Linked DNA regions of Ovis aries. The protein of the gene in region 2 interacts with the protein of the main gene of each other region in a pairwise test. Links are inferred from orthologs where the notes say so. Each region holds a gene or a part of one and is shown on either strand. Other genes may lie near its edges. The genes, in order: LNX2, MAPK9, WDR62, ARRB1, EFHC2 and SHMT1.

Region 1 (3,500 bases), on a different chromosome or scaffold from region 2:
ACTCTATACAAAACAGATAATCAATAAAGATCTACTGTATAGCACAGGGAACTGTACTCAATATTCTATAATAACCTATATGGGAAAACACCCTGAAACAGAATGGATACATATAACTGAATCTCTTAGCTGTATACCTAAAACAACGTTATAAATCAGCTGTGGTGGTGTTTGGTCACTAAGTTGTGTCTGTCTCTTTGCGATCCCATGGACTGTATGTAGCCTGCCAGGCTCCTCTGCCTGTGGGATTCTTCAGGCAGGAATACTGGAGTGGATTGCCATTTCCTCCTCCAGGGGATCTTCCCAGCCCAGCAATCGAACTCACGTCTCCTGGACTGGCAGGCAGATTCTTTACTGCTGAGCCACCAGGGAAACTAAATCAACTATACTCCAATATAAAAGAAGAAACACAGGATACTAAAACCTAGTTTAGTATAGGTCAAAGGAATACCTGTCACTAAACAGCCACTGTTCTGTAGACTCCCAGAGATCTCTATTGTATACAAACCAGTATTCAATGACCGTGGGTCAGAGGGCTGTCATTTGGGGCAACAGCTCTGCTTTCCCTGGTGGGGTGGGAGCGGGGGCTCTTCCACTGTGTGTGCTGGCATGTACACACACCTGCTTGTTTGCGTTGTTTTATCTTCTGCAGAAGATTCAGAATAACGAAAATAACCTGTACTGTCCTAAAACATTAGGCCAATGCATGGGACTCCTCTCTACTGGAAGCTTTTTTACACATTAATGACCAGAGATGTAGTAACACCACAAGCGTTCCTTTGTGCAAAGTAACTTCTGTCAGTGTTCTGTTAAGTGCTTCTCATTGAGCTAAGAAACCAGAGCACATGAGCAGCTCTGTTCTGGCATGTTGTATGTTGCTCCCCATCCATAATGGAGGCACGGACCATGGTGTGGAGTTACAACAAAGATGAACAGGCTATAAAAAACCCTCACACTAATTTTTCTTGGTCTCTGTGTTGACAGTGCCCTTCATAGCTGCCATGACATAGTCTTGCGAAGAAGCTACTTGGGAAGCTGGGGCTTTAGTATCGTCGGTGGATACGAAGAGAACCATACCAATCAGCCTTTTTTCATAAAAACTATCGTCCTGGGGACCCCTGCTTATTACGACGGAAGATTAAAGTGAGTCTTATTGTGTTTAATGATGTGATTTGCATTTACTGTGATGGACACAAGGTCAGCTCCCAAGTCCAGCCTGTTGTCCATCCTTGTAAATAAAGTTTTATTGGAACATACCCATGCTCCCTTGTTTACCTATCTCCCCGGGCTGCTTCTGAGATGTGATGGCAGAGCCAAGTGGCCAGTCCCGAGACCAGTGACTCACAGAGCCCAGGCCCTCTGTCTACCTACCATTTGGCCCTTTACAGAGACAGATCTGCCAGGCCTGATCCAGACTGAAGCATCTTGGTACCACAGGTCAGTGCCTCTTGTGAGATTAACAGTAACGCAGAGTCATGTGGACACATCATGACCCAAAGCTTGCCCTGAGCACCTGAGTCCAGTCCTGTCAGTAGGTGACTTTTCTCTACAGCACTTATGTCAACGTAATGCTCAATTCACGCAAGTCCACATGGGAGGGATTTTGTTGCATTTTGTGTTAGATCCCTGGCAGGCAGCGTGGGGCCTTGCATTCGTAGTAAAGGTTTCATCAGTATTGATGGATGATGTGCGTGCCAGGCGTGGTGCTAGGTGCTGGCTATGGGTTACTGCACCTTCTTAGCAGCCTGCGAGGTAGGTGCTGCTGGTGTTCCTATTTTATAAGCAAGACACTGAGGATTCAGGTTAAAAAACTGCCTATAGTCAAATAGCTGGAAGTCGTTGACAGCAGTTAATCTAGGAGTCTTGGCCATTCAGCCCCTGCTGTTGTCACCACTGGGCAAAAAGTACCCTCTCAGCCTCTGTGCCACCTTTCTCAGAGCTCAGGCACCATGAGAAGAAAGAGGCATTCCATCAAGAGATTATACAGACAGAGGAGACGGGTGACTGTAAGTTCTTAGGACCTAGTTTTGGATGCAAGAAACAGTTCTTAAAAAGTAGATGCTGACATCCTAGTCAGAGTGCTGCACAAATCAGGGCATTTACATTTTGCAAACACAGAGCAACAGCTCGGGAATATCGAGGAAAATCCATCAGGGTCAGTGTGCTCCAGATCCCACTGTCACCTGGTAGAGATGAAAAAATCACTTCAGGAGCAAAGAGTGGGAGGCTGGGATGAAATAACCATTCTCTTAGCCAACTGTTCAGCCAGTCTGGGTCTCGTGTAAATTATAGACTAATTAACTTCCACTTCCTAAAAGAAGTTGAACTAGATCACAAGAAAGTAACATATTCATATTCAAAATAAAGACTAAAAATTATAAAAGATAGAAAGGTCTTCAGATTCACCATCCATTTGTGATAATTAAGCTGAAGGACAGTGAGCATCCTTGGCTGAAAGAGGTGTGGGTCTCATTTAGTTGAAGCCTCGAATGGACTGTAAAAAATCAACCATGAAAATAGCAGCCCCCTCCAAATTTATCATGTGGTATTTTTAAAGGAGGCAGCAGATTTATTCTGTTAACTATACATTGCTTAAGCTTCTCTGAAAATTACTCTGCTTTCCTTTGAAATCATCCACCAGTTACAGGAGAGGCTGGCACGGGGGTGTCCCCGGTTGACAAGGGAAAGCCAACATAGGCTTAAAAAATCACCCAGATATTTCTCAAAGAAAGTCACATAGCCTGATCATCAACAGTTAATGGGTAAGTGTACCAAACAAATCTCAGGACAACATTTCTGATACCGTGAAAACGGTGACTGTTTCTGTCTCTCGTTGTCCAGATGTGGAGACATGATCGTGGCTGTGAACGGCCTGTCGACCGTGGGCATGAGCCACTCGGCGCTGGTCCCCATGCTGAAGGAGCAGAGAAACAAAGTCACGCTGACCGTCATCTGTTGGCCTGGCAGCCTCGTGTAGATTTTGAATTTGATGTTAAGTCGAACAGCTTCCCTATTTTTTTAGGTCTTGGGAAGAAACCCCTTTGGTTTTGTCAAGTTTCTGTTAGGGCCTGCTGACGCAGCTGGGACACACAGGGCCAAACCCACCAGGCTTGTCCTTTTGTTATTAATATTTAAATGCCTCCTCCCCCTCAGTTTGTCACATTTCTCTCAGCTCAGAACGCGTCTTCCCCTAACCCTCGTGGGGTCACATTTTCAGAATCCAGGTTCTCAGTTGTCAGAATGTGAGCTGTAATAAAGAATGAAGTCTGCCCAAACTGTGAGCCAGCAGGCTGCATCAGGCGGCTTACAGTAGCTCTGTTTTAAGTAACTGAGTCATAAAATGAGTTCCATGTGCCCGAGACGGGCCAAGTGGGCTGTCACTTGGGTGGCCAGTGCCGTGAGTGGCCGCCTGCTCAGTGTGGAGAAGCTGCTCCCCATTTTCATCTGTGCCAACATTTCAAACAATACTGTTTAAAAGGTCATTTTTCTGGCTTATTTTG
Region 2 (3,968 bases):
GTGTACCTTCTAACATTTATTTAGGAAGGCCAAATAAACACATTTTAATCTGTCAACAAATTATTTAAAGTGGCATCCTGAAAAGTTAAGTTCTCAGGAGTGGATTCTCCTCAAGAAACTCAGGAAAAGAACGCTCTTCAGCGACAGACTATGCCAAAATAGGATTGTTTTTAACCCTGTAGGATCCTCTTGAAGGGGAAAAAAAGGGATAAATGAAGGGAAACGATATCTAGATTGGATTTTATTCTTCCAGAACAAACTAAGAGCCAAAGAGAATACTCAGAGCTAAGGGACTCAGGAAAGAATGCTGATCTGCGGGAGACCTGGGTTCAAATTTCACTTTCCAGCTGCTTGCTACAAAACAGACTGCCGAAACCCTGGGAGCCTCTGCTTCCTCCTGTGTAGAAAGTGGAGGCTAGCAGGCTTCCTAGCTGCTATCGCAGGGCTCCAGTGCCAAAAGAGAGTTCCTGGACAAACAGGGCCGAGCTGCCCTAGTCGTGGGCTACCCTTCTAGCTCACTGCAACTCTTCCCTCCTAAACAACCTGCCTTGAAGTCCGGAGTCCGACAATCCTGAAATAAAACTGAATGAGGTCTGCATTTTGCTTGGCTCACAGCACTGAAAACATTTTAAAATAAGCTACTGCCAACAATTGAACATGAAGAGAGTGCAGATACAAATCTCAAGTTCTGGCTTCTTTCTAAAAATTGCTGGGTAAGTGGTGTCTGGTTCTCCAGGGTCTCCACTACTCTAATCTCTCACACCTGGCCCCACAGGCTGGTTTTTGACCCCAACATTGGGCTGAATATTGGAGAAGGGGATGACAGAGGACGAGATGGTTGGATGGCATCACCGACTTGATGAACATGAGTTCAAGCAAGCCCTGGGAGTTGGTGATGGACAAGGAAGCCTGGTGTGCTGCAGTCCATGGGGTCCCAAACAGCGACATGATTGAGCGAGTGAACTCAACTGATTGGGCTGAAGTTCTTCCTTCACCCTGCCCTTCCCCACGTCTTGTCTTCCCCTAGACCTGACAAGTTTCTCATCACCATTCAAGCCAACTCCAGCACCAGCCAAGCACCACCGCCTCCTCCAAGTTTCCACAGCACAGCCCTGCTATACAGCAAGCTGTCCGAGCACTGTCTGCATGTCTCCTTTCTCTACTGGGCTCTTGGGCTCTCTGGAGGAAGGGACCCTGTTGCTACTGCCTTTGTGTCCCCAGGGCCGAGCAGAAAGCTGACCTGGATAATGTAGAATTCAGTCAATATGTCCTGAATGCGAGGAAGGAAGTTAGAGCGAAAACATTATAAAAATGTCAGATTTTATATTACAGCTTGTTCTGATAGTTACCAAATAAAAGGGTCAAGGACATTAAAATGTTCCACAAAACTAAAGCAACCTATCATCTGCATGTAAGTTTCACAAGTTAGTCAGAAGTCACTAAACAGAGAAAGCAGAGGCAACAGGCTGGCAGGGTCATTCATTCACTCACTTACTCACTTAACTGATATTACTGAATACTTACTGTGTGCTTTCTAAGCACTGGGGATAAAGCAGTGGACAAATCAGACAACTACCTGTTTTCAGAAAGCTATAATCCTAATGGGAGAGACAGAAAATAAACAGGCGAATCAACAGAATAGTTTCAAACCAGATACTGGGAAGAAAATTAATGTAATGAGACAGAAAGACTAAAGGAGGAGAAAGAGAGGTCAAGGAAAGGATTCTGTAAATTGGAACATGTGAGAAGGACCAGAAGGAGTCAGCTGTGCAAAGATCCGGGAGGCAACTCCAATCACTGGATACAAGTGCAAAGGTCCTGAGGTAAACAGGGCTGAATGTTCAAGGCCAGTAAGATGGGTAGGTTAGGAGACCACTGCTCCGGGTTGGGGGACTTGTTGGGGGTGAGCTGGTCAGGGCCCGCTCAGGCACTGCTGGGCACTGAGTATGCAATGACAAGGCACTTGGGGAGCATGAGGATGGGGGACTCTGGGCGGACTCTGCTACACTCAAGCCAGCAAGGAGCAGTATCCCGCTCATTTTCCACAAGTGTGCACCGGGCGGGCTCCCGCCCAGGGGCTTTCACACACATTCATAGAGCTTGACAACAATCCTGTCCAAAAGGGTAGACATTTCCCCCACTTTGCCGAGGGGAAAACAGAGGAACAGCAAGGATCAGTGCCTTCGCCAAGGTCGCAGGAATCAGATCCCAGGCTCTGAGCATCCGGGAGGAGGTATGCAGCTGGGTGCCAAACAATCGGGGCGGGGGAGGGGGCGCCCACAGACCCTACAGCAGGTCTGCCGGGGCCAGAGCAGGGAGCGAGCCCGCAGCTCTGGGGCGCGGACAGCCGGGCGTAAGGGGGTGACTGCGGCAGCCTGGAGGAAGAGGGGCTGCGGCCGGGGTCGCCAGCACCCCGCAGACCCCACAGAACCCGGTCCTCCCGCTCCGCACCCCCCTGTCCCCGCGGAGCCTGGCCTCGCGGCCTTCCCGCCGCCCCTCCCCGGCGAGGCTCGGTCCCAGAGTCCCCGCTGGGCCTAACCCGCCGGCCGGGCTCACCTCGCCTCCCCGCCGCCGCGCCAGAGGGAGAGGGCAGGCGGGCGGACTGGCGGCGCAGCGCGCTAGCTGCTCGCGGCTCCGCTGCCCCGGGCTCGCCTGGCCGCCCCGCCCCGCTCTGCTCCGCTCCGCCCCGCCGCCGCCGTCGCCGCCGCCGCAAAGGCTGTGAGGGGCGCCGGGGCGCCTAGGACCCTTCCGGTCTGGATTGCTTCTCCTCCGCTGCAGCCGCCGCCGCGGCGCCCGGTCTGACCGACCCGCGCGCCGGCCAATCAGCGCGCGGAGAGCTGGGCGGGCGCGGCCAATCGCGCGCGCGCGGGGCTGGGGCTACTGCCGGGCGGCTCCGGAGGGGAGGCGGGCCGAGCCCGGCGCTGGTTGACCAGGTCTTCGGGGAGCGGCGCTTGGCGGCCGCGCAGCTGATCGCTCCGCTTCCTTATGACGCAGGCCGGGCTCGGCGCGCCGACTGCGCTTTACCGGTGCCCGCGGCGCGGCAGCCGAGCACCGCGCTGGGAGGCGATGGAAAGGGGTACTGACGGGACCGAAAGCCGGGCCTCTGGGCTTGCAGGTGCAGACTGACAGCGGCGAGTCGGCCTGGAGGAAGGCGGAGAAGGTCCATGAGGGGAGGGCCAGGGCGAGGGGAAGCCGCGGCCTTGGCGTCCAGGACTGGGAGGCGGAGGCGGCGAGGACGTGGAGACGAGGGGAATGGACCTTGGATTCCTTTGCTCACTGTGAAGCAGTTTCAGGGTTGCTGCCAGAAGCAATGGCAACCCACTCCATCACTCTTGCCTGGAAAATCCCATGGACGGAGGAGCCTGGAAAGCTGCAGTCCATGGGGTCGCGAAGAGTCGGACTCGACTGAGCGACTTCACTTTCACTTTTCACTTTCATGCATTGGAGAAGGAAATGGCAACCCACTCCAGTGTTCTTGTCTGGAGAATCCCAGGGACGGGGGAGCCTGGTGGGCTGCCGTCTGTGGGGTCGCACAGAGTCGGACACGACTGAAGCGACTTAGCAGCAGCAGCAGCAGCAGCCAGAAGCCGAGGAGGGACATGGGAGGAGATGGCCATGTGCAGGCCTCTGGCCCTGGCAGGTCAGTGACAGAGGGGAGAAGACTGGCTGGTGAGCCTGGAGCAGAGTTCAAGCCACTTGAACAAAAATTGCCACCATCAAGGATTATGGGAAACTCAGGAGGTCTGGCTGTCAGAGCTGTGGTTTTACAAAGGAGCATTCATTCCTGGGTCTTCTCAGAAGAGAATGGCAGAGTCATACATGGAGGGAAGGGAGTGCAATGCTGAGGGCCCCTAGGACCTGTGATTTGTTGGCAGTGACCTTCTTCAGAGGTGTCTCCCCCAGCTAGCCTCTGGATCTGGTTCCAGCAGGTCTGAAGGTGTGAAATGATGGGAGAGTTGTCAGACCAG
Region 3 (2,611 bases), on a different chromosome or scaffold from region 2:
TCCACCGGGAGATGGGGACACTCACACAGTGGGGTCCACACCTCCAGCGTCTCCTCAGCCTTTCCTCCAGGAATAACCTACAAACATAGCCCTGCAGTGAGGACAAGGCCTCCCGGCTCCCAAGCCCCATGTCTCGAGGGAGGTGGCCCCAGTACTCACGTTGGTCCTGACTGGGGAGGTGGAGCCAGCACCCACTCTTGGGGGCTCGCCCTGGAGGTCCGTGAGTCTGACCTCTGAGGACTTCACGAGGTGCCGGGGAAGTCGGGAAGGGAAGGTGTGGGGAAACCTGTTAGGTAAACAGGTGGCAGTGGCTGCCCTCAGGGTGCTCAGGGGCACACAGCCCCGCCCTGCCGGGAGAGTTCACGAATTCACCCGCTCCCACCTGGATGTCTTCTGAAGGCGGGAGAGGAACTGGGCTGAGATGCTCAGTCGGGGGTTGAAGAAGTCATCCTCGGTCTCAGAGGCTTTCAGGTCTCTCAGGGATCCGAGGAAGAGCTCTAGGGCAAGATGCCAAGGGAGCCCTCAGAAACCCTCCAGCCAGCCAGCCCTGGGCCCAGGCAGACCCCACAGACCAGCAGACAGATCCTCAGAGACCCTCAACAACGGATAACATGGGGCTTCCCTGCCGGTCCAGGAAAAGATCCCACATGATGCAACTGAGGCCCGATGCAGTCAAAAATAAAAAGCAGACAACACGCACCTTGGGAGCGAATCGAGCTGGCAGAGGATACCGTGCTGCTCAGTCCCTAACTAAAAAGTAAAATGCACGCCCTCCCACCACTCTCACCAGCCCTGCCAGGGAAAGCCGCACCCTGGGGACGTCCACACTGAGCCCAGTCCTAGGTGCGCCCAGGCAGGTGTCAGAGAGGGGCAGGGCTTACCCTCAGGGTGGGCATCAGTAAGCGTCTCGAAGTGGTGGCGGAGGAACTTCTCTTGCTCAGGGGTCTGGGGCAGGGAGCTGTTGGATATGCCTGGCACCTCGGGCCTGGGCAATTCTCCTGCAGTCCCTGGGCATCCTGGTCAGAGGGCGTGGGCAGGGGAGAAACGTCAACACCATGAGTCATGGAAGACGCCCTGAGAGAGCCACCAGCCGTTTAACGATGGAGGAAGCTGGACTCGCCCATCACACACCCTACGGCCACCAGGTGGAGAAGGCGGGGCTAATGGCTGTCTTCTAGGGGAGGGAATTGGGGGTGCAGGACTGAGGTATGGCCAGTGGTTATATATTACAGCCATCACTCGGCCAGGCCCACGCACCGCCCTTTTCTGCATGTGGCCGCTGCTTACCTGGTATGGGGGGCATTGTGTCAAACTGAGGTTCTGGGTCTGGCTGTGGAGGAGAGGAATGGATGGTGGTGAAGCTGCACTCCAAGTCAGCCTCTGACTCCCCCGAGTCTGGAAGAGAGTGGCTAGGGTCAGGGGCCCAAGGCTGGGCCCTGACTGGGTGAGTCAGGTAAGGAGGCTACAAGTTTCTGGGCTTCAGTTCCTTCATCTGAAGAAGGGGGACTATAGGACCCATGCCCTATTTTACGGACCAGCAAGGCTACACTTCAAGGGAGATGCAGAGCTGGGCTCCCACTGGTGGGCAGCTGGGCTCCAGAAGTCTAGGGTGAAGACAGCAGGGATGATGTCTGTCTCTATGACAGACTCTGAGCTTCAGGAAGACTGGGTCACAGTCGCCATCAGTGCCCAGAAAGGGGTCTGGCCAGATGAAGAGATGACTGCAAGGTGTCCTGCTGGTACTCACTCACCCTCAGGGGGATTCCGGTCCTTCGAGCCGATTGAGGGGACTGGGAGGAAGGGGTTCCCTTGCTGGTCTCCGCACGCCTCCACTACCTCCTCCGCACAGTACTCACTGCATGCCGGGGGTGAGGGATGGATAGGGAGAGGGAAAAATGACACACTGGTTAGTAAACACCTGGCCCCTACCCAGAAGCCCTGGACATCTGCACCTGCTCCTGCTGGGAGCACAGCTTCGCCTCTCTTGCCAGCACCAAAGGCGGCCTCCATGCACCTCCTCTTGGAACCAGGGAAACAGGTTGCAGCCTCAGCCCTCTGCCTCCCTCCCTCAGGCCCACTGGGAGAGCGGAGCGCAGTTCTTCCAGGGTGTGCCTACTAGTCAAGGCTTCCTCTCTCCAACTAAGGAACTCACCTGTCCCTTCCTGTGACTGTCACCTCTGTCTCTGGGGGGCAGGTGATGAGCTCGCTGGCCTCAGAAGACTCTCGCTGTGGGGGTGACAAGGAAGGGTGCCCGCAGCCATCCTCCTGGGGACTCTCGGACTGTGGGTGAAGACAGCGCAGCCTCAGAGGCAGCCATGATCCCCGGGCCCATGTCAGCTGCAAGGCTTGCCACCCACACCGGTGGCGACGGGAAGGATGGCAGGCCTCACTGTCGGATGCTCCCTGTGAGGCAAGACCTGGACGGGGCCGTACTGAGCTTGTACTGAGCTTGCTTTCTGCTGCTCCTCCATTTCATCTGCCCCTTTACAGATAAGGAATAGGTATGGCTCCCCCCCGTAAGAGTCTATTCATATGAAGTTCAAGAACAGGCAAACCAATCCATGGGGACAGAGTTCAGCATGCTGGTTACTTCACTGAGGGTACTGACTAC
Region 4 (3,948 bases), on a different chromosome or scaffold from region 2:
GAGGTGGTGGTGGTGAGGTGCCTAGCTGAGTTTGTGCCTGAGAAAAGCTGCCTGTGTGGGCTGAGCTGACCTTTCCTGCTCAGAAAGGAAGGTAGGCCGGCAGGGTGCATTGCTTCCCCCTGCAGATTTGGGGAAAGGTGGCTGAGTGGTGGTTGCATCCTGTCCCTTCCAACTTCCAACCTCAGTGCCCCTTTCAGGGAGTGGGGGAAGGAGGAGCTCAGGCGGGAGCTATGAGGAAAGAACATGGGTTTTGGTGTCAGGCCAGGCTTCAGATCCCACCCTTACTGCTTGTTATGTCTGTGACCTTGAGACAATTATGTATAATTTTTATGAACCTCAGTTTTCTCATCTTCAAAATAGGGTTGATAAGGGAATTTCCTCACAGTCCGCTGGTTCGGGCTTGGCACTTTCATTACCAGGGGCCGGGTTTGATCCCTGGTCGGGGAACTAAGATCCTGCAAGAGGCAAGCCATAATGCTTCCCCCACCCTCTGCCCAAATGGAGGTGATAATATCCTCCCCCAACACCCCGGGGTTGCTGTAAGGCCTAAATGAGATAATGTAGGCTAAGCACAGTGCCTGGCACACAGTAGGTACTCAATAAATGCAGATTGTCCCTCTCTTCTGCCCCGTGAACCTCATCATCCTATCTTGCACTCCATCCTTTACCCTTTTGAGAGTGCCCTCAGTTGGGCTGCGAACTCCCCGGGGGCATCTGTTGTGTTTAGTTCATCCACCTTTATGCTCCAGCCCTGGCACAGCACCTTCAATGCACTTTGAATTGGTTGGCAAGAAGCTGCACTGGCCGCAAGAAAAGAGGGCTAAGTTTTAGCTGGAAACTCAGTGCACATCCACTGTGTGCTCCTGCCGAGGCCTACTGTGTGGAATCTGCTCTGCAGAGCTTGAGTGGCTGCTTGTAACTTGCTGGACTCCTCTGCTCTGGAGGCTTTGTCTTCTTTTCTCCCAAGCACTTAGCACTCATGTAATCAAACCAGTCTTTGGTCAGCCTTTAAGATCCATCTCTTCCCACTGGAATACAAGGGGCCACGGGAGCTGTGTCCCCAGGTCCTAGTGCCTGGCACAGGGGACACACATACATTTTTGTTGGCTGTCCTTTTCTTTCCCTTCTCTGAGCTCAGGCTTGGTATCCCTCCCAGCCCAACCCCTTTCCAGCTGGGGCAAGTCTTCCTGCTTCTTTCAGCTTCAATTTCCTCATCTCTAACGTGAGCATAATGGTGGTCCCAGATAATCAAGTGATCAGCTGGGCCTGGAGCAAGGGAAGGACTCCATCACATCAGTTCCTGTTTTTAAAATGATCTCCAAGGGTCCTCCCATTTCTGACCTTCAGTGACCTCACTGCCTCTGGCTGGGAGGAGACTGGGGAGAACATTCCATTCCTCACAGACCCTCTGCACTGGTCTCACAATGGATTTGGAGCTCTGTGCAAACTGTTTATGTTTCCCCAGTAGAGTTTATTACCCAACTGGGCCTTCTGCAATTAATTACTAGCCAAGCAAATAACTTGTCCCTGGGAGGCTGGGCTTGGCATAAACATTTACATCCAGCCAGGGGCCGGCCCAGGGGCTAGGCTCCTTCTTCCAGCCTCAAGAGCAGAGAATGGTTAGAGGATTAGGGTTGGGAGGGCTGGGATGGGGTGAGGGGTGGGGCTAAAGAGAAACAGCTTTCCTTCAGCAGCTTTTCCTGGGCCCCTACCTTAGCCTTTGAGGTGCTGGGCATCTGCCTTCTCTTTTAATCTTCCTCAGGACCCCACAAGTAGAGTCCCTGTTTGCAGATGAAGAAATATGGAAGAAATTGAGGCTCATGGAAATTAAGGAATTTGACCAAGGACACACAGCGTGCAGGAGGGGCAGGATCTGAGGGTTCCCATAGCAGCTGTGTAGAGCAATAGACTAGAGACGAGAGGACAACAGTGGGAAAGCACTGAGGGAATGAATATTCATTTGATCGATTGGTCATTCATTCATCGTGTTTGTGTCGGCCCCTGTTGCGCGTGAAGGGGCCGTGAAGAGGCGGTGGTGACTCTTAGTGACTGGGCTGAGACTGTTGGTCCCCAGTGAATGCTGGAAACTCCCTCAGGATGTCCCATTAACAGACCAGCTTTGGCTGAAGGAGGTTTCTTGGAGGGCTAGGAAGGGGGCGGCCTCTCTGAGTCTCTAGTGGTCATAACCACCTCATCTTATGCCAAGAGATGGCTCCAATGGAAGTAGCCTCTAAGGTCAGCCTCCTTATCCCAACCTGGAATGTGGAATCCCAGAACCTTGGCCCCCTGCCTTTGGGCTGAGAAACCTCAGAAAAGGTTTATCTCCAGGAATAGCAGGGTCCCTTGTTTATGTCTGAGAGGGAAATGGCTGATTGGCAAGGGAAGCCCTCCTTGCTCTCCTGATCCCCCGGCCCTGCCCCATGGAGGGACTGTGAGTTCTGTGTTTTCTAAAGGCCCCTCTTCCAGCCCAGCAGTTCCTGCTCCCCTCCACAGCCCCACCATGCAGCTCTCTGGAGCCTTCTGCCGGGGGCCATCTTCTGTCTTTGCAGAGAGGAGAGCTGAGACCAGGGAGGAAAGGGTACCTGTTTTGGATATAGCGTGCCTGGATCCTGGAACCCCTTGGCTTCAGGTCACGGTGGAGACTAGGGCCCAGGCTGAGCCATCCATTGCATGTTGCCTAATCCTGGCCCAGAGCCTGATGTGTGGTAACCAATGCCCAGGAAACGTGTGACCTGGGGGAGAAGTGACCAGCTGATGGGACACGTAGGAAGGACACTGTGATCTGGGAGGCAGGGGGCTTCAGCCCATGGCACTCTCTCTCCCGGGAATGGACCTTCTGGGAACTGAGGCGAAACAATAGTCCTCACCCTCAGGGCTGTGGTGAGGCTCAAAAGGCAGCGAGTGACTATTCACAGCGGACAAAAAGTGGAAACCAGTGGCCCTAATGATCATCAGTGTATGCGTGGGTAAACAAATTGAGGTCTGTCTATACCACGGAGCATCATTCAGTCGAAAAAAGGAATGAAGTACTGATGCATGCTGCAACATGAACCTTGGAAACATTGTGCTATGTGAAAGAAGCCAGACACAAAGGTCACATATTGTGTGATTTCATTTATATGAAATGTCCAGAATAGATACGTCCATAGACCCAGAAAGCCGACATTGGTGGTTGCTGGGGCCTGGGAGGAGGGGCGGCTGGGAGAAGAAACCACTCGAGAGTGACGGATTTTAGTGTGGAGTGGTGGAAGTGTTTTGGATCTGGAGTAGAGGTGGTAGTTCTGCACAGCGTTGTGACTGCAGTAAATACTGCTAATTGTTGACTTCAAGCTGGTAAATTTTGTTATGTGAATTTCACCTCAATAAATTATTGTTTTAATTGCTAATAATAAAAGCAGCATTGTGAGGAGGAGGCCCTGGAGATGAGATATGGGTGTTCAGGGGTGAGGCTGCCGGAGAAAGGATGGGTGGGGGGGTGCTGTGACGGGAAAGGTGTCCAGTGGGCGGCACTTTGGGAGCCTGATTAGGACCCAAGGTTCCAGAATAAGAATGGTTGGGGGCAAAGATGTGTCCTTGGGCGGGTTATTCAACCCCTCTTTGTTTCAGTCTCCCCTCTGGAAAACGGGAATCATTAAGTTTTTATTATGGCAATCTAAATCTTTTATGATCAGTCCTGAATATTCACTGGAAGGACTGATGCTGAAGCTGAAGCTCCAATACTTTGGCCACTTGATGAGAAGAACTGACTCCTTGGAAAAGACCCTGATGCTGGGAAAGATTGAAGGCAGGAGGAGAAGGGGACGACAGAGGATGAGATAGTTGGATGGCATCACTGACTTGATGGACATGAGTTTGAGCAAGCTCTGAGTTGGTGATGGACAGGGAATCCTGGTGTGCTGCAGTCCATGGGGTCGCAAAGAGTCGGACATGACTGAGCCACTGAACTGA
Region 5 (4,149 bases), on a different chromosome or scaffold from region 2:
AGTTTCAGTAGGCTCCAGGAGTTGGCAATGGACAGGGAAGCCTGGCGTGCTGCAGTCCAGGGGGTCACAAAGTGCTGGACACGACTGAGTGACTGAACTGAACTGAAGCACCATGACAGCATCTATCAAAGGTGAACCCAAGAATGCCGTGTGAGAAATTTTAAAATTATATTTAAAAAAAGAACTTGATTTTTAAAAAAAGAATACCATTTGATCTGGCAATTGTACTCAGAGACATGAACAACAGTCACAGCAAACTATTTTTAACAACCCCAAACAAACCTAATCTCTGTCAAGAGTAAACTGTGTATATAAATGATGCCATACCCATACAGTATCTTCCTGTATATATACAGGGCTTCCCTGGTGACTCAGATGGTTAAGAATCTTGCAGCAATGCAGGAGACCTGGGTTCAATTCCTGGGTTAGGAAGATCCCCTGGAGAAGGGAATAGCTACCCACTCCAGTATTCTTGCCTGGGAAATCCCATAGACAGAAGAGCCTGGCCGGTTACAGTCCTTGGGGTTGCAAAGAGTTGGACACGACTGAGGGACTAACACTTTCACTTTCAACACCCATACAGTAGAATATTCTAGAGCAGTGAAAACATACAAACTATCTCTATAGACAGACACATGAACAAATCTCACAAACATAATGCTGAGCTTAAAAAAAAAAAAAAAAGCCAGCCACAAAAGAATAAAAACCAGACATTTCCACTGACACAAATTTCAAAAGCAAGCCAAAATGAACTACAGTGATAGCAGCCAGGAGAATAGTTGTCTTCGGAGAATAGAAAAGGTGTAATGACCAGAAAGGGTCATAGGCAGGGTTGCCATGTAAAATACAAGCTGCTCAGTTAAATATGAATTTCAGGTAAACAACAGAGAATCTTTTAATATAAGTAGATCCCATGCACTATTTGGGACATGTATTTTTACTTGCTAAATCTGGCAACCCTAGTCAAGGTTGATGTTTTGGGAGTCCTGGTAATATTTTCCTTCTTGATATCCATTCTATAAGCATTCATAGTGCATTTTTCTGTACATGTGTTATACTTCACAATAAAAAAAAACTTTAAAAAAGCAAAAGTACACTCAGTACAGCCTTGCAGATTTTAAAATATCTCATCCAACCACTGTTCTTCCCACTCTTAATCACTGTATGTGAGAGCTGAGGATCTGAAGTGTTGCTATGTCCAAAGCTGTGGGCTCTACATTCAATTTTGATTAGAATTACTTTTACACAGCATGCTTCTTTATTTCTGGAATCCTTTTTCATGCCCTGTCTTTCAGGAGTTTTACTTAATTTGTGACTAGCTTAATCTTACCACAGGCTTCCCAGGTGGCTCAGTGGTAAAGAATCCACCTGCCAATGCAGGAGACACAAGAGACGTGGGTGGGACCCCTGGGTCAGAAAGATCCCCTGAAGTAGGAAATGGCAACCCACTCCAGTATTCTTCCCTGGGAAATCCTAAGGACAGAGGAGTCTGGCGGGCTACAGTCCATGGAGTCACAAAGAATTGGACACAACTAAACAACAATAATCTTACCAAAGGGCAACATTAGGATGGAAGGCCAGCCTCTATCCATCAGCCAAGAAAGCACAAACCAGTGGTCAAGAAACAAGCTGAACTGACCAGCCAACCTGCAGGGGTCAGAATGCACTGGCCTGAAGCTACAAGAAAACTGGTACCGTAGGGCCAACAACTTGGATACAGACACTGTTCAGCATCCATAAAGTCAAATGCTTCAATCTGCAGCCTGTTTTCTAAACTTACCAGAGGTTTACACAAATACCTTGAGTGGTTCCATCAATTTCCCTTCTTACAGATACATCTGGAAAACCCAAGTAACGAGTAGGGACCAGTGCAAACAAAAACCTGAATCATTTTTCTGTTCTGGATTAAAGAAGATGGTATTTGCTGGCAAAAGTTATTGCGTGCTCAGGGTTTTTAATGTTGTGTTGTTTGGTACTTTCATCTTGTTTTGAAATGAACCATTCCCAATCCTAAACGAAGAAAGAACTACAAGTTTGGATCCTGCTCTCTATAATGTTTAGGATCAAACTTTATAGGCCAGTGGAACCCTTATCCACCCCCTACCAGCCTTGAGAGTGCCAGGTTTCTTCACTTTAATAACAAACTCTTTCACAAAGGGTATTAAGGAGAGTGATTAGGTTCCTGGGCTGTGGAGGCCGGTTGCCTGGAGGAAACCCAGCTTCACCACTGAGACTGTGTAGCTCTGGCCAGTGAGTGACTGACTCATCGCTCTGTGCCTCAGTTTCCTCAACTGTAAAATAGGAATTAAAAATAGCTGATAAAAGGGCTGTTGGGAGCATCTAATGCCGTGTAAGGTGATTAAAGCACAGCCCCTAGCACACCTTCAACGCTCATCGGTGACTATCATCAATCCTACCTTCGAGGGTCTTAGCATCTATAAGGACTCTACGTCTGTATCTAATGTAGGGAAAGCATCTAGATGCAGCTGGACAGAGGGGGAAGGGGAGGTAGTCCAAGAGCCCACAAAGTTAGACCCAAGCTGCGCCCAATCCACAGAAGGCGAAGCAGCGTTAGGAGGCCGGGGTAGTGGTCACACCTGGACCCCAAACTTGGCTGGGACTTCTGACCTCGGGTGCCCTCTCTACTCACATTATGGTTGAAGCTGTTGCCGGGCAGCAGAGGCAGGGCCATGGTTTCGAGCGTCCGAGGGTCAAGGGTCCGAGAAAAGAGGCCAGCAGGCAGCGGCCACCTTTCGGCCGCTTTGTTTGAGCCCCTGCCTCCCCCCACTCCACGTTACCTAGAGACGGAGGCGGTGTCACGGAAGGAGGAGGGGCTTCCGCGGGCCGGGGGCTCGGGGCGGGGCCGGGGCGGGGCTAGGCGGAAGCTCCGCGCGGGCGCCTCCCCCCGCCCACCCGACCCACTCAGCCGGGGACCGGTCTCCCCCGAGGCTTTTCTCTCCACACGCCTTGTGCACACACAAAGGCTGTCTACCGCACCATTCCCCGCCCCCGCCGCTTGCTGTTTTAACCCTTTGATAGGGCTCAAAGCCCTTCCTGCACTGAAGCTCCTCTGTTTCTTGCACGTTTCTGTTTCTCGCCATTTGGTTATTAAATTGAGTTCATACAGAAGAGTGCAGAAAATAAAATGACACCCGTGTGCTCACAGAAATGTAACACCAGTACACGTTACATTTACATCAGCTTTTACTTTGTAATTAAAACGTTCCAGATGAATCCCAAGCCACACAAACCCCAAGTGTCTCCCACCCCCCTCCCACCACGACCACCGAGAAAATCCATTCAGCGGTAACCACCATCCTCAGTTCTTCCTCTGTACTTCCGTTTGAACGCAACATTTTGTAAGATGCTCGTTCCTGGTGCAGTCATGGTGGCCAGGGGCGGAGTCAGGTGGCACAAAAAGTGGCCTCTGTCACTCCACCAGGCTCCCAAGATACCCAAGCCAGCGGCTCCGCTCCCCACACCTACAGCTACTCCCTCCCCGAGTCCTACTCTACTGGTTGGACACTCCGGGTAACTTTCAGCCACCACATCCTCTGTCTCAGTCGAGACCCTATTATTTCTTGTCTGGTTTTCTTTTAAAACAGAAACAAACAAAACACCTAATCTTGCCTCCAGCGCCATCCTCTTATATAATTCATGGTGCACCTGTTACTCTTCAGCTTCACTATTCTTCTAGCTGTCACGAGGCAGGCCAATTCCTTAGCCTGGTCAGAGCCTATGTCAGTAGGTGCCCACGAACGCCCTCCATCCCTTTCTTTGCCCCGTTCCTCTACTCCAGCTCCGAGGAATCACTGACAGTTTCTAAACCAAACTCTACAGTTTCTGCCCTTTGGGATTTTGCAAATTTCACTAGCTGCTGGAAACACCCTTCCTTGCCATCTCTCACCTGGGTAACCCCTTCTTGTCTTTCAGGGCTTGGTTCAGGGCGGGAGAGAGGTGTGGAAGGCTTTGACATTTCCGGGAAGCGTTCCTCCACCTTCTCCACTCGCCCGATATTAGCTGCCCGTTCTAATGGTGGCTTTTGTGGTACTGCAATGTAATCACCCTTACTTGACCCTCTTCAAATGCCCACCAATTCTCCCAGGGCAGGAACTCTCTCTTTTCTTATTCCTTAAAAATATACATTAC
Region 6 (4,170 bases), on a different chromosome or scaffold from region 2:
GCAGGAAGGGGACCACCCAGGCCTGTCTGGACCTGGCCATTACCTGAGTAAGGCTGGACGTTAACCCCCCAGCACTCGGGGTCCAGGCCATAGACCTGCAGCGCTCGCTTCTGACAGAGGACCTCTAGCTCATCGATGAATTCCGTCCCACCATAGTACCTGTGGAGGAAGGCGGGAGGTATAGGCCCACTGGCGCCACTTCTGCATGCAGGACAGAGGCCAGGCTCCTAGTGGGACGAAGGAGCAAGGGTGAGAACACGCACCCTGAACCAGGCCCAGGTGGCCGTGTCTCGCCATCCGTGGGGAGGTCTGACCCCACAACTCAGATGAACCCTGAGGACACTGTCACAGCCATGTGATGGCCTGTGCCAGCTGCCCAGGGATCAATTCATAGCATGTGGAGCAGGACAGTGGTTTCCAGGGGCTGGGAGAGGGAGTTACTGGTTTGGGGGGATTTACTTTGCATTTCTAATAAAATTTTATCTTTTGTTTAATAATTGCATATCACAATGTATGCACTTATGTTTTTTTATTATTTGTGACTAGTTTTGGCCTGGGATAGAAGCCATGCTCTTCAAGTCGACTTGACCTGCCAGAAAATGGGTGCCCCTCTCTCCTGCCGTTGTTGTGGGAACAGAGCTGGGGGCAGGGGTGGTGTGCCATGGTCACCATGCCCTCAGTCCCAGCAAGAAGCAGCAAGACTGCAGCACCACATCTCTGGGCAGAGGCACCAAAGTATCTCCTCCAAGGTCAACTGGAAACACTGGGACCCCAGGCAGCCTGGGGTTTGAACACAAGCTGGGTGTCTCACAATTCCACCTGGTTCCCATACTGACCACCCAGAGTCAGTGCAGACCGACATGCTGAGGGCTCAGACCCACAAGACTGCCCCTCACTTCAGATGCCAAAGGCAAGTCCCTGGTCACTGGGCTACCAGCATTGCTGCCCCAGTTGGCTACAAATGACCCCCTCAGTTCCAGTAATTCACTTGAAAAACTGAAGACTCAGGAAAGCGCCTCACTCATGATCCCTGGTTTATTGTGAAGGACTCAATTTGTGAACAGGACAAGGTTCAGGAGGGCATGTGATCCTACAACCCCCTTCCAGGGGGATGGGTGTGGGGGTCCAAAAATTATGACCCTCTAATCAGTGTAGAACGGCAGGTGACCCTCCCTTTTCCGTGTCCTCTGGGACACAAGTGTGCAATTTTGCAAAAACCACGTGTTAAATTCTGTCATCACCATCTCTGCCTGATGACAACTGTAAGAAACACAAATGAATATGACTTCTCCTGTTTCTCAAGAGGAGAAGCTGACTGAAATCTCTTGTAGGTAAACCCAGTTTTAAAACACTGACCCAGTTTCCAGTGTGGTGGGTCAGTCTCATCTTGGGGTCCCTACTCACACAACCTTCCTCTGGAGGCTCAGCTGCAGCCAGCAGCTGCTCCTTCGGGCCTGGTTGTTATTCTAGAAAGGCCCAGGGGGACTGTGCAAGTGACCCCAAGTATCTTGCCCCCAGAACAGTGGTGCCACCACCCGCTAGGAATCGTTAAGAGAGGAGGAGACAGGAGGCCCTGCCATTGAGAACCTGGCTGTTTTCTGAAATGTCCACTCCCTTCCTGGGAGGCTGGCCTGGATGACACTCACATACCTCTGGCCTGGGTACCCCTCAGAGTACTTGTTGTTCAGGCAAGAGCCTAGGGCCTCCAGAACAGCCCGGCTGGCAAAGTTCTCGGAGGCGATCAGCTCCAGTCCAACCCTCTGCCGGTTACTCTCCTTCTTAATGATGTTGTAAACCTGACAAGAAGAAAACAGGAATGGGGACACTGCAGTTTAACATCTGCTCTGATCTGAGCAATAACTGAGCAAAGAGAAGAGACACTTATCCTTTCATATTTTGCCCTCAGAAGCCAAGTGTAACCAGAATAAGATGACCCCCACAGCACCTGAGGAACAAAGGAAATACTCCTCAAAGCTTTTAGGAAGGAATTAATAGAAAGTGAATTAAGGAGAACAAAACGATGGAAGAAAAGATGATCCTTAAAACACGCATCCCACGGAATTTTAAAATTCTGTGCCATCTTGTTATTTTCATCCCTAGATTTCACCAAGTTTCCCTCCTGAACTTTGTTCTTTATTCCTTTCCTTAAAATAACAGATACCTAGATGAATCCACAGAGACAGAAAACAGACCAGTGGTTGCTGAGGGTTGGGAATCTGGGGGATGGAGGGGGGCAATTGCTGATGGGTTTGAGGTCTCTTTTGGGGGGATTAAAATGTTCTAAAAGCAATCATGAATACACTAAAAACCACTGAATTGTGTACTCTAAATGGGCAACTTGTATGTTAAGTGCATTCACTTATCTCACATGTAAAGCTATTGTAAAAATACATAAATAAAAGATGCTTCTAGAAATGCTCCCCTGAACTGTAAGAAGAGGGTCAAGTCTCAGTGACCCCACCCCTTCCCCTTTCCTCAGCAGCAGCCAGCACACTGCTCTTCACAGAAACTCAGATTTAAATGCACCCTCAAAGGACTTGCAGCCACTTTGCAGCCACTGCCTATAAACCAGTCCTGTATCCAAACCACAAGGCTGTCCCAAACACAGCTCATTTCTGGTGAGAATCAGAGGCCTGAACAAGGACCTCCAACAGCAAAACTTGCAAGAACACCCACAGCCTCACCTCGACATCGTTGTCCTTCAGGGGCTGTGCCAGCATCTTCTCATGCAAGGACCACAAATCGGCATCTCTGGGTGCCTTGTTGACTGGAGCTGCCATTGTGCTGGTTCAGAGGCACCTAAAAATGGAAAAGCTTCAAATATTAAACTCAGTCACAGCTCATCGTCACCTGTCAGTTCCCAAGTTGCTGAAGTACTGACACACGTGTGGGCCTTGTCCCAGAAGCGCCTGGAGAACATGAGAACTCTGCTGCAGATCCACCACATGGGACCACCTGTGGATCCCTGCAGGTCACTGGCTCCTCAGGAGACCTGCCCTCCTTGCCTCGAGGCTGCTCCAGCCTCGGGGAGCCCAGCACCCCCTCTTCCTACCTGAACTTCTCCTGGTTGTGGCTTAGCTCCCCAACTAAGCCAGCTTCCTGAAGGCAAGGGCTGATGGTTACTTTGTAAAAAATTTCCCACAGTACCCAGCGCAGCCATATGAGAGTAATATTTACCAAATGAACAAGTGAATTGCTGACTTATGTACTACTTTTTCTATTTCTCAAGTAATGAAAAGGAGACTCAGAAAAGTATCTTAGTGGAGGGCCGCACAGCCCACTGGCCTTGGAGGAGAGTCTCAAACCCCGCAGAGGCTCCACCTGGTGTTCCGCGGCTGGGGCTGCAGGACACGCTCTGGGTTGACCCTGGGCCTCTGGTCAGGTCCACAGGCAGAGGTACACACCTGGACTCGGCATCATCACAATACAGCAGGCTTGTGTCTTCACATACATCCCCACAAAGAACAAGAGTCTGAGCTCAGTGGTATTTCAGCTAAAGGGACAGCATAAATGTTTACAGGAACTGACCTCCTTTAATCGATGGTTGGCAACTTTCAGTACTTTCTACTAATTAGATAAGCTTTTGTTTCAAATTCATTCCCTTAACAGTTACTTATTGAGGCCCTTCCCCTCAGCAGCAGCCACAGGTCGGGACTGGGAACACAGTGAGACCCAAACAGACCGAACCTTCATGGGGCTTCCTGGGGGAAGGTGAGCAGGAAGCAGTGAGCACACTGAATGCAGACAGATAAGCGGGCCCACAAGGACAAGTGCTGGGGGCGACCAGAGGACACCAGGCTGAGAAGGGGCCCACCTGCAGTCTCCTGAGAGCACCATGAGAATATAAATAGTTATACACACACACAGGTCCCTGCGACTTCCCAGTGACAGGAGCATCTCTTGTTCCAATGATGCAACTCAGGGTGGGAGGCTACCAAGTTGGGGCTGGTCCCAGAAAGACCAGGCCATGATGAGAAGCATTTCCAGCCCCCTCAACTCTACCAGAGAGGGAAAGGGGCTGGAGTTAATGACCCCCTCACAGGGTTCAGGGAGCTTCCGGGTGGTGCACCCCAACTCCACGGTGACCCTCCCAGCCATCGCCCTGAACATCTCTCTCTTCCTCTGGCTGCTTATCTGTGTCCTTTGTCATATCCTTTAATGAACTGGTGA

What was found.
Region 1: the proteins of MAPK9 (region 2) and LNX2 interact in binary tests that used the Homo sapiens proteins (3 or more experiments, as listed by UniProt). The link is inferred for Ovis aries from reciprocal best matches to the Homo sapiens genes MAPK9 and LNX2.
Region 3: the proteins of MAPK9 (region 2) and WDR62 interact in binary tests that used the Homo sapiens proteins (3 or more experiments, as listed by UniProt). The two-hybrid records come from large-scale screens. The link is inferred for Ovis aries from reciprocal best matches to the Homo sapiens genes MAPK9 and WDR62.
Region 4: the proteins of MAPK9 (region 2) and ARRB1 interact in binary tests that used the Homo sapiens proteins (3 or more experiments, as listed by UniProt). The link is inferred for Ovis aries from reciprocal best matches to the Homo sapiens genes MAPK9 and ARRB1.
Region 5: the proteins of MAPK9 (region 2) and EFHC2 interact in binary tests that used the Homo sapiens proteins (3 or more experiments, as listed by UniProt). The two-hybrid records come from large-scale screens. The link is inferred for Ovis aries from reciprocal best matches to the Homo sapiens genes MAPK9 and EFHC2.
Region 6: the proteins of MAPK9 (region 2) and SHMT1 interact in binary tests that used the Homo sapiens proteins (3 or more experiments, as listed by UniProt). The two-hybrid records come from large-scale screens. The link is inferred for Ovis aries from reciprocal best matches to the Homo sapiens genes MAPK9 and SHMT1.

The regions. Positions count from the first base shown.
Region 1 is NC_056063.1:32,686,254-32,689,753, forward strand, and holds part of LNX2 (ligand of Numb protein X 2), read left to right. Parts: intron 1-984; coding exon 985-1,143; intron 1,144-2,841; coding exon 2,842-2,977; 3' UTR 2,978-3,500.
Region 2 is NC_056058.1:713,789-717,756, reverse strand, and holds the start of MAPK9 (mitogen-activated protein kinase 9), read right to left. Parts: upstream 2,801-3,968; 5' UTR 2,557-2,800; intron 1-2,556. UniProt on the Homo sapiens protein: Serine/threonine-protein kinase involved in various processes such as cell proliferation, differentiation, migration, transformation and programmed cell death.
Region 3 is NC_056067.1:46,067,124-46,069,734, reverse strand, and holds part of WDR62 (WD repeat-containing protein 62), read right to left. Parts: intron 2,281-2,611; coding exon 2,153-2,280; intron 1,856-2,152; coding exon 1,752-1,855; intron 1,396-1,751; coding exon 1,288-1,395; intron 1,017-1,287; coding exon 882-1,016; intron 498-881; coding exon 383-497; intron 287-382; coding exon 160-286; intron 78-159; coding exon 26-77; intron 1-25. UniProt on the Homo sapiens protein: Required for cerebral cortical development. Plays a role in neuronal proliferation and migration.
Region 4 is NC_056068.1:53,257,881-53,261,828, reverse strand, and holds the start of ARRB1 (beta-arrestin-1), read left to right. Parts: upstream 1-1,148; 5' UTR 1,149-3,948. UniProt on the Homo sapiens protein: Functions in regulating agonist-mediated G-protein coupled receptor (GPCR) signaling by mediating both receptor desensitization and resensitization processes.
Region 5 is NC_056080.1:43,527,397-43,531,545, forward strand, and holds the start of EFHC2 (EF-hand domain-containing family member C2), read right to left. Parts: upstream 2,801-4,149; 5' UTR 2,693-2,800; coding exon 2,651-2,692; intron 1-2,650. UniProt on the Homo sapiens protein: Microtubule inner protein (MIP) part of the dynein-decorated doublet microtubules (DMTs) in cilia axoneme, which is required for motile cilia beating.
Region 6 is NC_056064.1:34,088,876-34,093,045, reverse strand, and holds the start of SHMT1 (serine hydroxymethyltransferase, cytosolic), read right to left. Parts: upstream 2,801-4,170; 5' UTR 2,781-2,800; coding exon 2,685-2,780; intron 1,797-2,684; coding exon 1,651-1,796; intron 160-1,650; coding exon 44-159; intron 1-43. UniProt on the Homo sapiens protein: Interconversion of serine and glycine.